3 linked regions of the Mus musculus genome follow. The protein of the gene in region 3 purifies or fractionates together with the protein of the main gene of each other region. This does not show direct contact. Links are inferred from orthologs where the notes say so. Each region holds a gene or a part of one and is shown on either strand. Other genes may lie near its edges.

Evidence for each region.
Region 1: the proteins of Ccnb1 (region 3) and Espl1 purify together in Homo sapiens (affinity purification with western blotting; 5 studies listed by BioGRID and IntAct, with this or other methods). This does not show direct contact. The link is inferred for Mus musculus from reciprocal best matches to the Homo sapiens genes CCNB1 and ESPL1.
Region 2: the proteins of Ccnb1 (region 3) and Foxm1 purify together in Homo sapiens (affinity purification with western blotting; 4 studies listed by BioGRID, with this or other methods). This does not show direct contact. The link is inferred for Mus musculus from reciprocal best matches to the Homo sapiens genes CCNB1 and FOXM1.

Annotation. Positions count from the first base shown.
Region 1 is NC_000081.6:102,295,435-102,299,180, forward strand, and holds the start of Espl1 (separin), read left to right. Parts: upstream 1-858; 5' UTR 859-981; exon of another isoform or gene 982-1,325; 5' UTR 1,326-1,334; coding exon 1,335-1,415; intron 1,416-2,749; coding exon 2,750-3,746. UniProt on the Homo sapiens protein: Caspase-like protease, which plays a central role in the chromosome segregation by cleaving the SCC1/RAD21 subunit of the cohesin complex at the onset of anaphase. During most of the cell cycle, it is inactivated by different mechanisms.
Region 2 is NC_000072.6:128,361,987-128,365,732, reverse strand, and holds the start of Foxm1 (forkhead box protein M1), read right to left. Parts: upstream 2,740-3,746; 5' UTR 2,616-2,739; intron 76-2,615; 5' UTR 29-75; coding exon 1-28. UniProt on the Homo sapiens protein: Transcription factor regulating the expression of cell cycle genes essential for DNA replication and mitosis. Plays a role in the control of cell proliferation. Also plays a role in DNA break repair, participating in the DNA damage checkpoint response.
Region 3 is NC_000079.6:100,783,991-100,787,736, forward strand, and holds the start of Ccnb1 (G2/mitotic-specific cyclin-B1), read right to left. Parts: upstream 2,497-3,746; 5' UTR 2,413-2,496; coding exon 2,392-2,412; intron 1,914-2,391; coding exon 1,743-1,913; intron 1,629-1,742; coding exon 1,467-1,628; intron 1-1,466. UniProt on the Homo sapiens protein: Essential for the control of the cell cycle at the G2/M (mitosis) transition.

The sequences.
Region 1 (3,746 bases), on a different chromosome or scaffold from region 3:
CTCTCTCTCTCTCTCTCTCTCTTTCTTTCTTTCTTTCTTTCTTTCTTTCTTTTGATTTTTCCTGAGACAGGGCTTCTCTGTGTAGCCCTGGCTGTCCTGGAACTCAGAAATCCCTACGCTCAGTATTTTGAACCCTGTTTCAAAAAACAAACAAAACAAAAGACTGTGAACGTTCACAATGAATTCTTCCCTTTACTCTTCACTCAACTCTATAGCCTTTCTTATACAACCCATGTAAGATGTAGGCTGGAATCCAAACTTGGGAGGGAGGAGAACCTAGGAGAACCCGGAGGTTGTCCCTGCACCCTTTTCAGTGTCCCTCTCCACAAAGTCAGAGTTTTAAAGAATCCCAAAGACCCTGTGTGGTGGTGTACACCTTCAACCCCAGCATTAGGCAGGTGGATCTCTCTTAGAGGCCAGCCTGGTCTATTTAGCAAGTTCCAGGACAGCTAGGATCACGTAGTGAGAACCAGTCTCAAAAAACAAAAATAAAAACAAAAAAATACATCAAAGGCTATTACACCTTTTCTTTCCTAGTAACGCAAAGCAAGCCATGTGGGTTTCTTATTTTAATTCTCTTGAAATTTAAAATCCTGCCTGAGCTCAGGGAATAAAGGCAAGAAAGACTTAGTGATTGACCACCCAACTGCGAAATGACTGTAATTGACTGAGGTTGAAGAAGGAGACTGTGTCCCAGAGTCTTTCCGGTCCAGAGTTGTACCCGCCCCTCCAGGAACACGTGACAGACAGCGCGGCAGATAAACTACAACTCCCAGAGCGCCACGCGGCCGGCCTGCGTTACGCTTTCTCGCTGATTGGTCACTAGGGATATTTGAAAGGAGGTGCTGGCGCGGAAAACGAAGCGTGCCCACCCGGTGCTTGGTGGAGCTCGGGCTGGAGGACGCTGCTAGGCCGGTGAGGAACGGCAGCTTCGAGGGAATTAAGGCACGGAGGGTCTGGTGAGCGCGCGCTCAAGCCGCGGTAAGTGACATTCCCATTGCTGACCTGGGAAGAAACGGGGCGTTTCTGCGGAGGCTCGGCGGCCCCCGAAAGGGTGTGCTCGGCGCCCAGGACCCTGTGGAGACCCCTGCGGTGGCCTGGTGGGACACTGAGGACAAGGAGCGTCCTGGAGGAAGGAACAGTGGACTTGTCAGTTTGTAACGGGAGCCCAGTTTATATCGGCCTCTCCCCGCATAGGATTTCTGGTGGGATTCTTTGCCTGCTTCATCCTTTGAATCCTCCTACAACTTTCAATCCCTTCTTTCCTCCAGTTATTTCCATTACAACCCTTCGCAGGCTTCTACAAACCATTTCGTTGTATCTAGACTTTTGCCATGAGGAACTTCAAAGGAGTCAACTTCGCCACTCTGCTCTGCAGCAAGGAGGAGACCCAGCAGCTGCTGCCTGACTTGAAGGTGGGACCCTTTATGGCTCAGGACACACCTAGTTTCTGAGATTATCTGTGTTTTTTTCCTTTTCCTTTTTTCTTTTTTTCCGAGACAGAGTTTCTCTGTATAGCTCTGGCTGTCCTGGAACTTACTTTGTAGTCCAGGCTGGCCTCGAACTCAGAAATCCACCTGTCTCTGCCTCCCTAGCGCTGGGATTAAAGGCTTGCGCCACCACGCCCGGCTTCCTTTTCCTTTTTATTTATTGTTTTTATTTTTATTTAAAAAATTATTTTTCCGCCGGGCAATGGTGGCACATGTCTTTAATCCCAGCACTTGAGAGGCACAGGCAGGTGAATTTCTGAGTTCGAAGCCAGCCTGGTCTATAGAGTGAGTTCCAGGACAGCCAGGGCTACACAGAGAAACCCTGTCTTTGAAAAAAAAAATTTTTTTTTCCCCTAGGGCTACTAATGTGATCATCTCCTAAGGACACTCTGGTTTATGTTCTCCGTTTGGGAGAGTTATACATCGGTTTTTGTTTACGTTTTATCATTCTCCTTATAGTAAATTTTACATTCTAATTTTATTTATTTATTTATTCATTTATTTATTATATGTAAGTACACTGTAGCTGTCTTTAGACACTCCAGAAGAGGGCATCAAATTTCGTTAGGGATGGTTGTGAAGCCACCATGTAGTTGCTGGGATTTGAACTCAGGACCTTTGGAAGAGCAGTTGGCGCTCTTAACCACTGAGTCATCTCACCAGCCCTCTAATTTTTAATTAAAAAAAATTTTTTTTTTCCATACTGGGGATTGAACTCAGGATCTCATGCATTCAGGAAAATATTTCACCACGGAGCTATATCTCTATATCTGTTTTCACTTTTAAAAATAACATATCATCTATGTCTTCATATGTTATATACAAGCATATATAATATATAGTATGAAATATGTAAGCTATATATTATCTAAATATTATATATATGTTTAAAGATTTCTGAGACAGGGTCTCTCTACATAGCCCCTGGCTGTCCTGTAAGTCACTATGTAGATGAGGCTGGCCTCGCTCGAACTCAGAAATCCACCTGCCTCTGCCTCTCAAGTGCTGGGATTAAAGGCCTGAGCCACCACTGCCCGGCCTGTTTTCACTTTTTTATTTTGAGACAGTGCTCATTCGCTCAAGCCCAGGAAGCTCTTGAACTTTTCTTCTGTCTTTTTGCCTTCACACAGGCCTGTGTCACCAAGCCTGGCTTGTGTTTTGCCGTAACTTGGAGAGAGATACATGAGAACCTGTGGGGCCCTGTTTCTGCCCCCCCCCCCCTTTCTTTTCTGCTCACGCGGCTTGATTCTTTCTCCTAGGAGTTCCTGTCCAGATCCCGGACTGATTTCCCCAGCAGCCGAACAGATGCCGAAAGAAGACAAATTTGCGATACCATCCTGAGGGCTTGCACCCAGCAGTTGACTGCCAAGCTCGATTGCCCTGGGCACCTGAGGAGTATTTTGGACCTGGCAGAGCTGGCCTGTGATGGCTATTTGTTGTCTACTCCACAGCGCCCTCCCCTCTACCTGGAACGCATTCTCTTCATCCTACTTCGCAATGGTTCCACTCAGGGAAGCCCAGACACTGTGCTGCGCCTTGCCCAGCCTCTCCATGCCTGCTTGGTTCAGAACTCTGGAGAGGCTGCCCCTCAGGACTATGAGGCCGTGACCCGGGGCAGCTTCTCTCTGTTTTGGAAGGGAGCAGAGGCACTGTTGGAGCGGCGAGCTGCGTTCTCAACTCGGCTGAATGCCTTGAGCTTCTTGGTGCTCTTGGAGGATGGCAGTGTCCCCTGTGAGGTCCCTCACTTTGCTTCTCCAACCGCCTGTCGTTTAGTTGCCGCCTATCAGCTGTACGATGCTACAGGACAAGGTCTAGATGAAGCTGATGCCGACTTCCTGTATGAAGTGCTTTCTAGGCACCTGATCAGAGTCTTAGTAGGTGAGGGTGGTAGCTCTCCCGGTCCTCTCTCGCCTCAGAGGGCCCTCTGCCTCTTGGAAATCACCCTGGAACACTGCCGTCGGCTCTGCTGGAACCACCACCACCGCCAGGCTGCCAGAGCAGTGGAGAGGGCTCGTAATCACCTAGAGAAGACCAGTGTAGCTCCTAGCCTCCAGTTATGCCAGATGGGGGTTGAGCTGTTGGAAGCTGTAGAAGAAAGACCAGGGGCAGTGGCCCAGCTTCTGAGGAAGGCAGCAGCCGTTCTTATCAACAGTATCGAGGCGCCGTCGCCCCCGCTCCGGGCATTGTACGACAGCTGCCAGTTCTTCCTTTCAGGCCTGGAGAGAGGCATCAGGAGGCACTGTGGACTTGATGCCA
Region 2 (3,746 bases), on a different chromosome or scaffold from region 3:
TCAGTGGCCGGCGGGGGCTGGTTCTCATCGTGAGGCTGTGCTTTCGCTCTCCATCGAGAATCGCAAGCTTTGACCCTGAGGAGGGCAAGGAGAAGCTGCCTGTCAGATCCGCTGGGCTGAGACAAACTGCATGAATGGCCAAAAGCAGAAGCTCAGAGGCCCAGGGGAATGCTGCCCGGACCTTGGTCAAACCCTCAGACAATAAGGGCAGAAGCTAGGTTTGATACACACTTGTATTCCCAGCACCTACAAGGTTCAAGGTCACCCTTAGCCAGACAGTGACTTCAAGGTCAGCCTGGACCACATGAGACCCTGTCTCAAAACAGACATACAAAATAAATAAAGCCCTATTACTGACCAAGGAAAGCTACCAGTTGCAGCAAACACTTCAAGATGGGAACCTGGGACTGGACTGGAGTCAGTGGTCCCCTGGAAGCTTAAGAACGTTTGGCCAGCGATAGAGTGCTTGCCTAGCAAGGCCCTAGGTTCAGTTCCCTGTACTATGAAAAGGCAAACAAACAAGACAAAGATGTGTGTGTGTGGGGGGGGGGGTGCTGGCAAGATGGCTCAGAGACTGAAACCATCAGCTGCTAAGCCCGGCCACCTGAATTCAATCCCCAGGACCACAATAGTGGGAAGAGAGAATCAGCCCCCGACCGGTTCCCTCCAACTTCCACATATACACTGTGGCATGTGGGTCAATCCTGCCCCCAGTAAAAATGTAAAAACATCTTTAACATCTTTTTAAACGTTTGGCCAAAGGAATACATGAGTCATCTACAAGAATGTGGAAATGCCTGCCATTGTGTACTAGAAGGCAAGTCACTTGCAATGACTGGGGAGAGGGATGAGAGACGATGGGTCGGGTGGACAGGAGGCTATTAGGAGTCCTGACAATACTTTTGATTCTGCAGTCCTTTCTGTGACAACGCCTTGGCCAGTTTACATCTTTGCAGGTCACAGGGTCAGTGCATACAGAGGCAGAGGCAGGAGGCCCTATTGCCACAACACTGGTGAGATCAACCACTAGTCTGCAAGATCCCAGACAAAAGGGGGGGACTTCCGTACTGATGGCTCACAGCAATGTGTGTAGACTGTGCAGTCTCATTTATTCCAAAGTTTTCAGTACTGTGACTGAACTCAGGGCTACACATACAGTAGGCAAGGACTCTACTCTACTCCTGAGCTATACCCTATGGCCCTTTTCCATCAGTCTCAAATAATGCAGGGGACCTTAAACTTCTGATTCTCCTGCCTCCACCTGTTAGAATCACAGGTGCAGCTACAATACCAGGTTTATGTGGTGGTAGGGATTGAACCCGGGGCCTTGTGAATGCTTGTAAGTGTTCTACAATAAAAACCCCAATCCTTTTGAATTGGGAAAAAAAAAAAAAGATTTTCAAGAGCTTCCATTAACCACTGAGCCATCTCCCCAGCCCCATTACATTAATTTTTTTTTTAAAGTGTGTTTTTCTTCTTTCAAAATTTGCAAAGCATTTGCACAATGATATTTTGGTACCTGAAAGTAACTATATTTTAGTGGGATTTTTTTGTTTTTTGTTTTGTTTTGTTTTGTTTTTGAGACAGGGTTTCTCTGTGTAGCCCTGGTTGGTCTGCAACTCAGAAATCTGCCTGCCTCTGCCTCCCAAGTGCTGGGATTAAAGGCATGCGCCACCACTGCCTGGCAATATTTTAGTTTTGTGAGTATAATACTCTATATACCTTGATCTTCTGCTTCAAAAGTAAGATTGTAATACTGATCTCCTTCATACTAAGATGTGCCATCATTAATAAGCTTAAGGTGGCTTTTATATTTGAGACAGAATCGCCTGTAGTCCAGGCTGGCTTTGAACTGCTGAGCCTCTGGCCTCTAATTTTCTAGTTGCTGAGATTACAGTCACTCACCACTATGCCTGGCTATGCTAAAGTGGTTTTGAAACGCTAAGGAAGGAAGTCTTTAGAAAAAGCATTCCTATGGATTTTTTTATAGGTAGATAGAATAATTTATCATTAAGTTAAATCCTGTCACTTTTGCAATCCTGTGAGAAACAGAGAAAGCAGCTGTCGCTTTAGGACACCTGCCAAAGAAGGGATTACACTCTTTTGACGTTTGCCAGCTGCTTAAGAGTTCTCAGGTCCCTTCCACCCTGCAGCTCTCTTCATACTCCGTTCTCTCGACCTTCAAATCTCAGTTTTCGTTTTCCTTCCCATTGCACCCCACCCCAATCAGATGTTAGACACCCCCCCCCACCACCACAGGGGCTCTCTTTGACCAGCCTTTCCCTAACACTCCCAATATCTTCTAGCGGAAGGAGACTTGCAGAGCCACCCCACGACCCCATTATTCTCCACACTCAACAGGGAACCTTGCAACCAACACTCAGCCAGGATCCCGCCCTGCAGCGGTGGAGGCGGAGGCAGGGTTGACTGCAAATGCAGACTCCGAGGGCAGGCCTGTTCCCAGGGTCCGGGGATGCTCGGAGAACACGGCGGCGGCAAGGCCGAGGCCGGAGGCTCAGACCTTCTTCCCGGCGGTGCCCAACACCCCCTCGCGCCCCACAGCCCCGGCAGTGCCGACTCCGAGCCCTCCCTGGACCCGGCCGCACCCCACTCACCTCACAGGCCGCGTCTGCTCCACGCGGGGCCGAGCCGGGCCCGGGCGGCGGGTCCCGGCGGGACGGCCGGGGTGGGAGCCCGGGGCGGGGTGACGGGGGAGCCCGGGCCGGGGGTGGGTCCCGCAGCGCCGCTTTCAGTTGTTCCGCTGTTTGAAATTGGCGCCGGCGGAGCGTTGCGGTCACGTGACGGAGCGTCGCCAATCGGCACCGGCTTGTCTCCGGGTTCCGGCCCCGAACGCTCGGTGTCCTGAGGAGCGGCGGCCGCGGCCGGGAGGGCGGGTAAGGCGGCCCCGGCGGGGCTCGAGGGGCGGCGGGAGGGACGCGGGGACGCGCGGACGGCGGCCAGCAGCCTGCTCCGCCCCGCCCCGGACCGCCCTGCCTCAGTGGTCGACTTCCTTCCGGGACAGCGTACGCCACTTCCCCGGGCTGGCTACCCACTCGGTTACCCCTGGGTCCCCCGCCCCGCTCAGTCCACGCGGCTCCGTGGGGTCCGGCTTGGGTTTCTGGCCCTAGACTTGCGGTTACGTGGCTCCGCCCCGCTCCGGTCTGTGGCCGCCTCCTCCCGGGCCCCAGCCCCCGAGGTGTCCGGACGATCGTTTATTCCCTCGAAGTACTTTACGATAAGAGCGGAGGATACAGCGGCGGACCCGGGCGTCCTCCCCCTGGCCTCAGCGTCTGATGGCGAGGGAGCACAGAATGAGATGAACAGATCGGTAGAATTCTAGCTACAGAGGAACAAGTTAGAGGCCGGTGGGTTTTGTCTGACACAAGGTTGTGTAGAATTCTGGATCCTCGTGTTTCCGCCTTCGGAGTAGCCGGGGTCACTGGCTCGCCCTCCCGCAGCCTCCTGTGATAACTTTGTTTATTTTAATGAGATCTTGACTTAGGACAGTAAAGCCGTTCTTTCTTTCTTTCCTTTTTTTTTTTTTAAAGGAGCTGAGAACGCGGTGTAAGATCTGTTACCCATTACACAGAAGAGAGGGAAACCCTGAAGTAAATAGAGAAGGGAGAGCTGCTTTGACCGGGAGGAGGCCTGCTGAATACAAAGGCCTAAGATGTAGTGAGTGTGGTATGCTATGAGACAGGAGGCAGGGTCTTCGCCTTTCTGAATTTTGTTCTTATTTAATATTT
Region 3 (3,746 bases):
CAAATCGTACACATAAACAGCAAAAACTAACAAACAGAGCCAGGCATGGTGATCCAGGCCTTTAATCCCAGCCCCTGGGAGGCAGATCTCTGTGAGATGAAGCCAGCCTGGTCTCCATAGCAAACTACAAGGCAGCAAGATCTGGTCTCATAAAAAAAGAAACTCCGATTTAGATTAAGGCAGTTTAAAAGTAGGAAAAACTAGGCTGGCAAGCCTGGTAAGGGTGCCTGTTGCCAAGCCTAACAACTGAGTTCAATCCCTAGAACCCGCAAGGTGGAAGAACTGACTCAAAAGTTGTCTTCCAACCTCTCTAACTGTGTCCTCACACACAAAATACAAAAGAGAAGATGGGAGCTGGAGAGACGGCTCAGCAATTAAAGAGCCCTCGATCTCCAGGAGGGACAGAATTCAGATCCTAGCGACCACACTGGGTGGCTCACAAACGCCTGCAACGCCGGCTCCAGCTCCAAAGAACTCTGTCTCTTCAGGCCTAACATACACACAATTGGGCACAGACACACAAAAAAGTACTCTCAATACTAGTAGGTAAAGCAAGTCAAAGGAACAGATAATAAAGTCATTTATCCATCAGCTCAGCCCCACGTGAACTTGATTCAAAAGAATGCTAAGCCAGCAATCTTTATTCAGGTGTATCCAAGCCCCTGATTACAGAGAGCCCAGGCTAGCCTTAAACTTGCAATCTTCCTGCCTTAGCAGAAGTGCTCAAATCACAAACATGCACCAATCATCACACCTAGTAGTAAAATCTGGTGCCTTCGACGTGTATGCTTTTTTTGTTGTTGCATTTTTCTCTTTTGCATTTTAATACTCAAGGACTGAACCCAGGGCCTCCTAATATGCTGAACACAATCTAACAGGCTACAAACTCAGGCAAACTTCATTTTTAGGCTTAAATGCTAACCCATCATTCCATCATTATCATCTTTTTTTGTTTTCAAATACGGAGTTTCACTATATGTAGCTCTGGCTAGACTGGACCTTGTTACAGAGACTCAGAGCCCCACCTGCCTCTGGCCAGACAGAATACTGGGATTCTACCAAGCACCTTATTTTATTAATTAATCTCATTTCTCTGCCTGAAATCTTTTTAAAAATAGTTTTTGAATATACCATCCCAGCATTGGAGGTGGAAATCTCAAGTTCAAGGACAGCATGAGCTACAGAGACACAGAAAAGAAAATGATTTATGCCCACATCCGTGTCCCAGGCCAGCCAGGAGTACATAGTGAGTGAGACTCTGGTGTCTACATAAAACAAAAAGCCCCACCATATTTATCTGCCACCATTTGACGCAGGGTGCTAATACTCACCCCAGAGTCGTTAATGCATGTAAAATGTTTTTGCTAGCCACTCAATAATAAGTAATATATTTAAATGCTGTCATGTGCATCAACGTGAAATGAAGTCAGAGAGAAGAAACAAACTTTTAAAAAATGCAAGTTTACCAAAATAGGTTCAGGAGAAAGCTTCTCTTCTCTAACATGTTCAAGTTCAGGTTCAGGCTCAGGCTCAGCAAGTTCCACCTCTGGTTCACACACAGGCACCTTCTCTACAGGTTTTGGTAGGGCTTTAACAGTACCTTTTCCAGTACCTAGCGTTTTTGCTTCCTGTGGATGAAAGGGAGAGAACAGAATGTTTTCCCAAGGGTGACAGCTAGAAGATGGGCCTTTTCAGGTTAATTGGGCTAGGGAGATCGGTACCCTTTTCAGGGCGATAGTTACCCTTTTCAGAGGCACTCTTGCCTGTAGCTCTTCGCTGACTTTATTACCAATGTCTCCAAGAGCAGTTCTCGGTCTCAGCCCGGGCTTGGAAGCAGCAGTAACTGTCACAGGCACACGCTTGGCGCCTGCCATACTGACCTTGGCCTTATTTTCTGCGTTAATTTTCGTGTTCTGAAAGAAGTAAAAGAACAACTTGAAAAGGGTCCACGGCAGCAAGCAGGCAGCCCCGAGGAAGTCACGGGTTAATTAAGGCGGGACCTAACTAAGGAAAGCAAGGGTGGTAGGATCTAGCCTCCAGCCGTGACAAGCAAGTTTCCACCCAAATCTTTCACCTTTAATCCAGTTTCCCCTTAAGTCCTAAGCCACCCTAAACATGGTGAATTTACATCGGAAAGGATGCCATAAAAGCCTCCGTCGTAGACAGCTCTCCGGGAAGGCGAAGAATTCACCCTGGGCCTTCACCATTAAGAGCACAGCACCCACTCCCCACAAGTCCTGCAGCCCAGATAGGTCCAGAGGTCTTTTTCACCCTCCATAAGGTGGGTCCTCAGCTCCCCGGCCTCGCCGGAGCCCTCCCGGATCCCCCTCCCGCTCCGGGATCCCGCGGTCTTCTCCCGCCGCGATCACCGCAGCGCCTGGCCCGACTCACCCTAGTGACCCTGAGCGCCATGGCTCCTCCAAAATCAGAGGTTCCCCGATTCGAGAAGACACCCTAACCTCTGGCTATCCACAGCTAAACACTAACAGCCGTTCCTCCGCAGCACGCCGGGAGGAGTCTGCCGGGCTTAGGTTTAAACCCCGGGCCGCTCGCTCCTCATTGGCCAGTTCGTGGCACTCGCTCTCTTCCCATTGGCGCCGCGGGTTCCCGTAGAATGCGTTTCCTGGGCGATCCCGCGATCCCAAGTTCGGCGGGGGTGGGGCGGGGGCGGGGCCAGAGCGAGGCTGCCGCTGGCAGCACCGCCCACCCCTCGCGAGGTCAGGCTCTATGCCTGCGCACAAGTCGCATTGCTGCCACCTGCCTTAGGTAGGCATGGCGTGCAGTGCTCACTTGTGTGCTGTCCAAGCTAGCCCAGGCGACTCCGTTGGACTTTAGGAAAATGACTGTGGGGAGTACGCATATCAGTTTTGCTGTTGTCCTATTTATTGTTTCTCATCCTCTTCTATAGAAGTGCCAATACTATCTTAAGAGTTCCCGAAAGCTTTGTTGCAGAGACGGTCTTTAATATGACTGTTCCAACAGCTATCTGGGATGGATTTTGAGGTTGATAGCATGAAGTTTTAGCACACATACACATAGTAAATGTTTTTTGTTTTGTTTTTGCTTTTTGTTTTTTCGAGACAGGGTTTCTCTGTATAGGCCTGGCTGTCCTGAAACTCACTCTGTATACCAGGCTGGCCTCGAACTCAGAAATCCACCTGCCTCTGCCTCCCAAGTGCTGGGATTAAAGGCGTGTGCCACCACCGCCCAGCTGTAAATGGTTATTATAAGCAAATAGATTAACATACCAAGCTCCCCAATAGCGACTGCCCCAGTGATAAAAGAAAATGTGCCTTATGCTTAATTTTGCTCTAAGTTTAAGATTACTCCAAAAATATAGTTTTGTAAAATCTTATTTAACAAAGATCTCTATTGCAACTCTCTATCTTTCTATGTCAAACTCCTTATTAAGGCTTATTAACTTCAGTGAAATTTTCCACATTAATTTTCAGTAACACTAACGCGGATTTATTTATTGACCAGGATCTCTTGTAGCACAGGTTGTTGGCATTCCTTCTATGCTCCGCCCAACAGTTACCTAGCAACAGCCAGGTAGGCCTGGCTTGCTATAAAAAGGACTGTTTGGCCTCTCCCTCTCTCTCTGACTCTGCCCTCTTTTCTCTCTCTGTCCCTTTTCTCCCTCTCTCCCTTCTCCCTCTCTTCACAGGTTCCTGGCCAGCTTCTTTTCTTCTTTTTCTCCTTCTCCCTCCCCCCATCTTTTCTCCTCTCTCTCTTTCTCTCTCCCA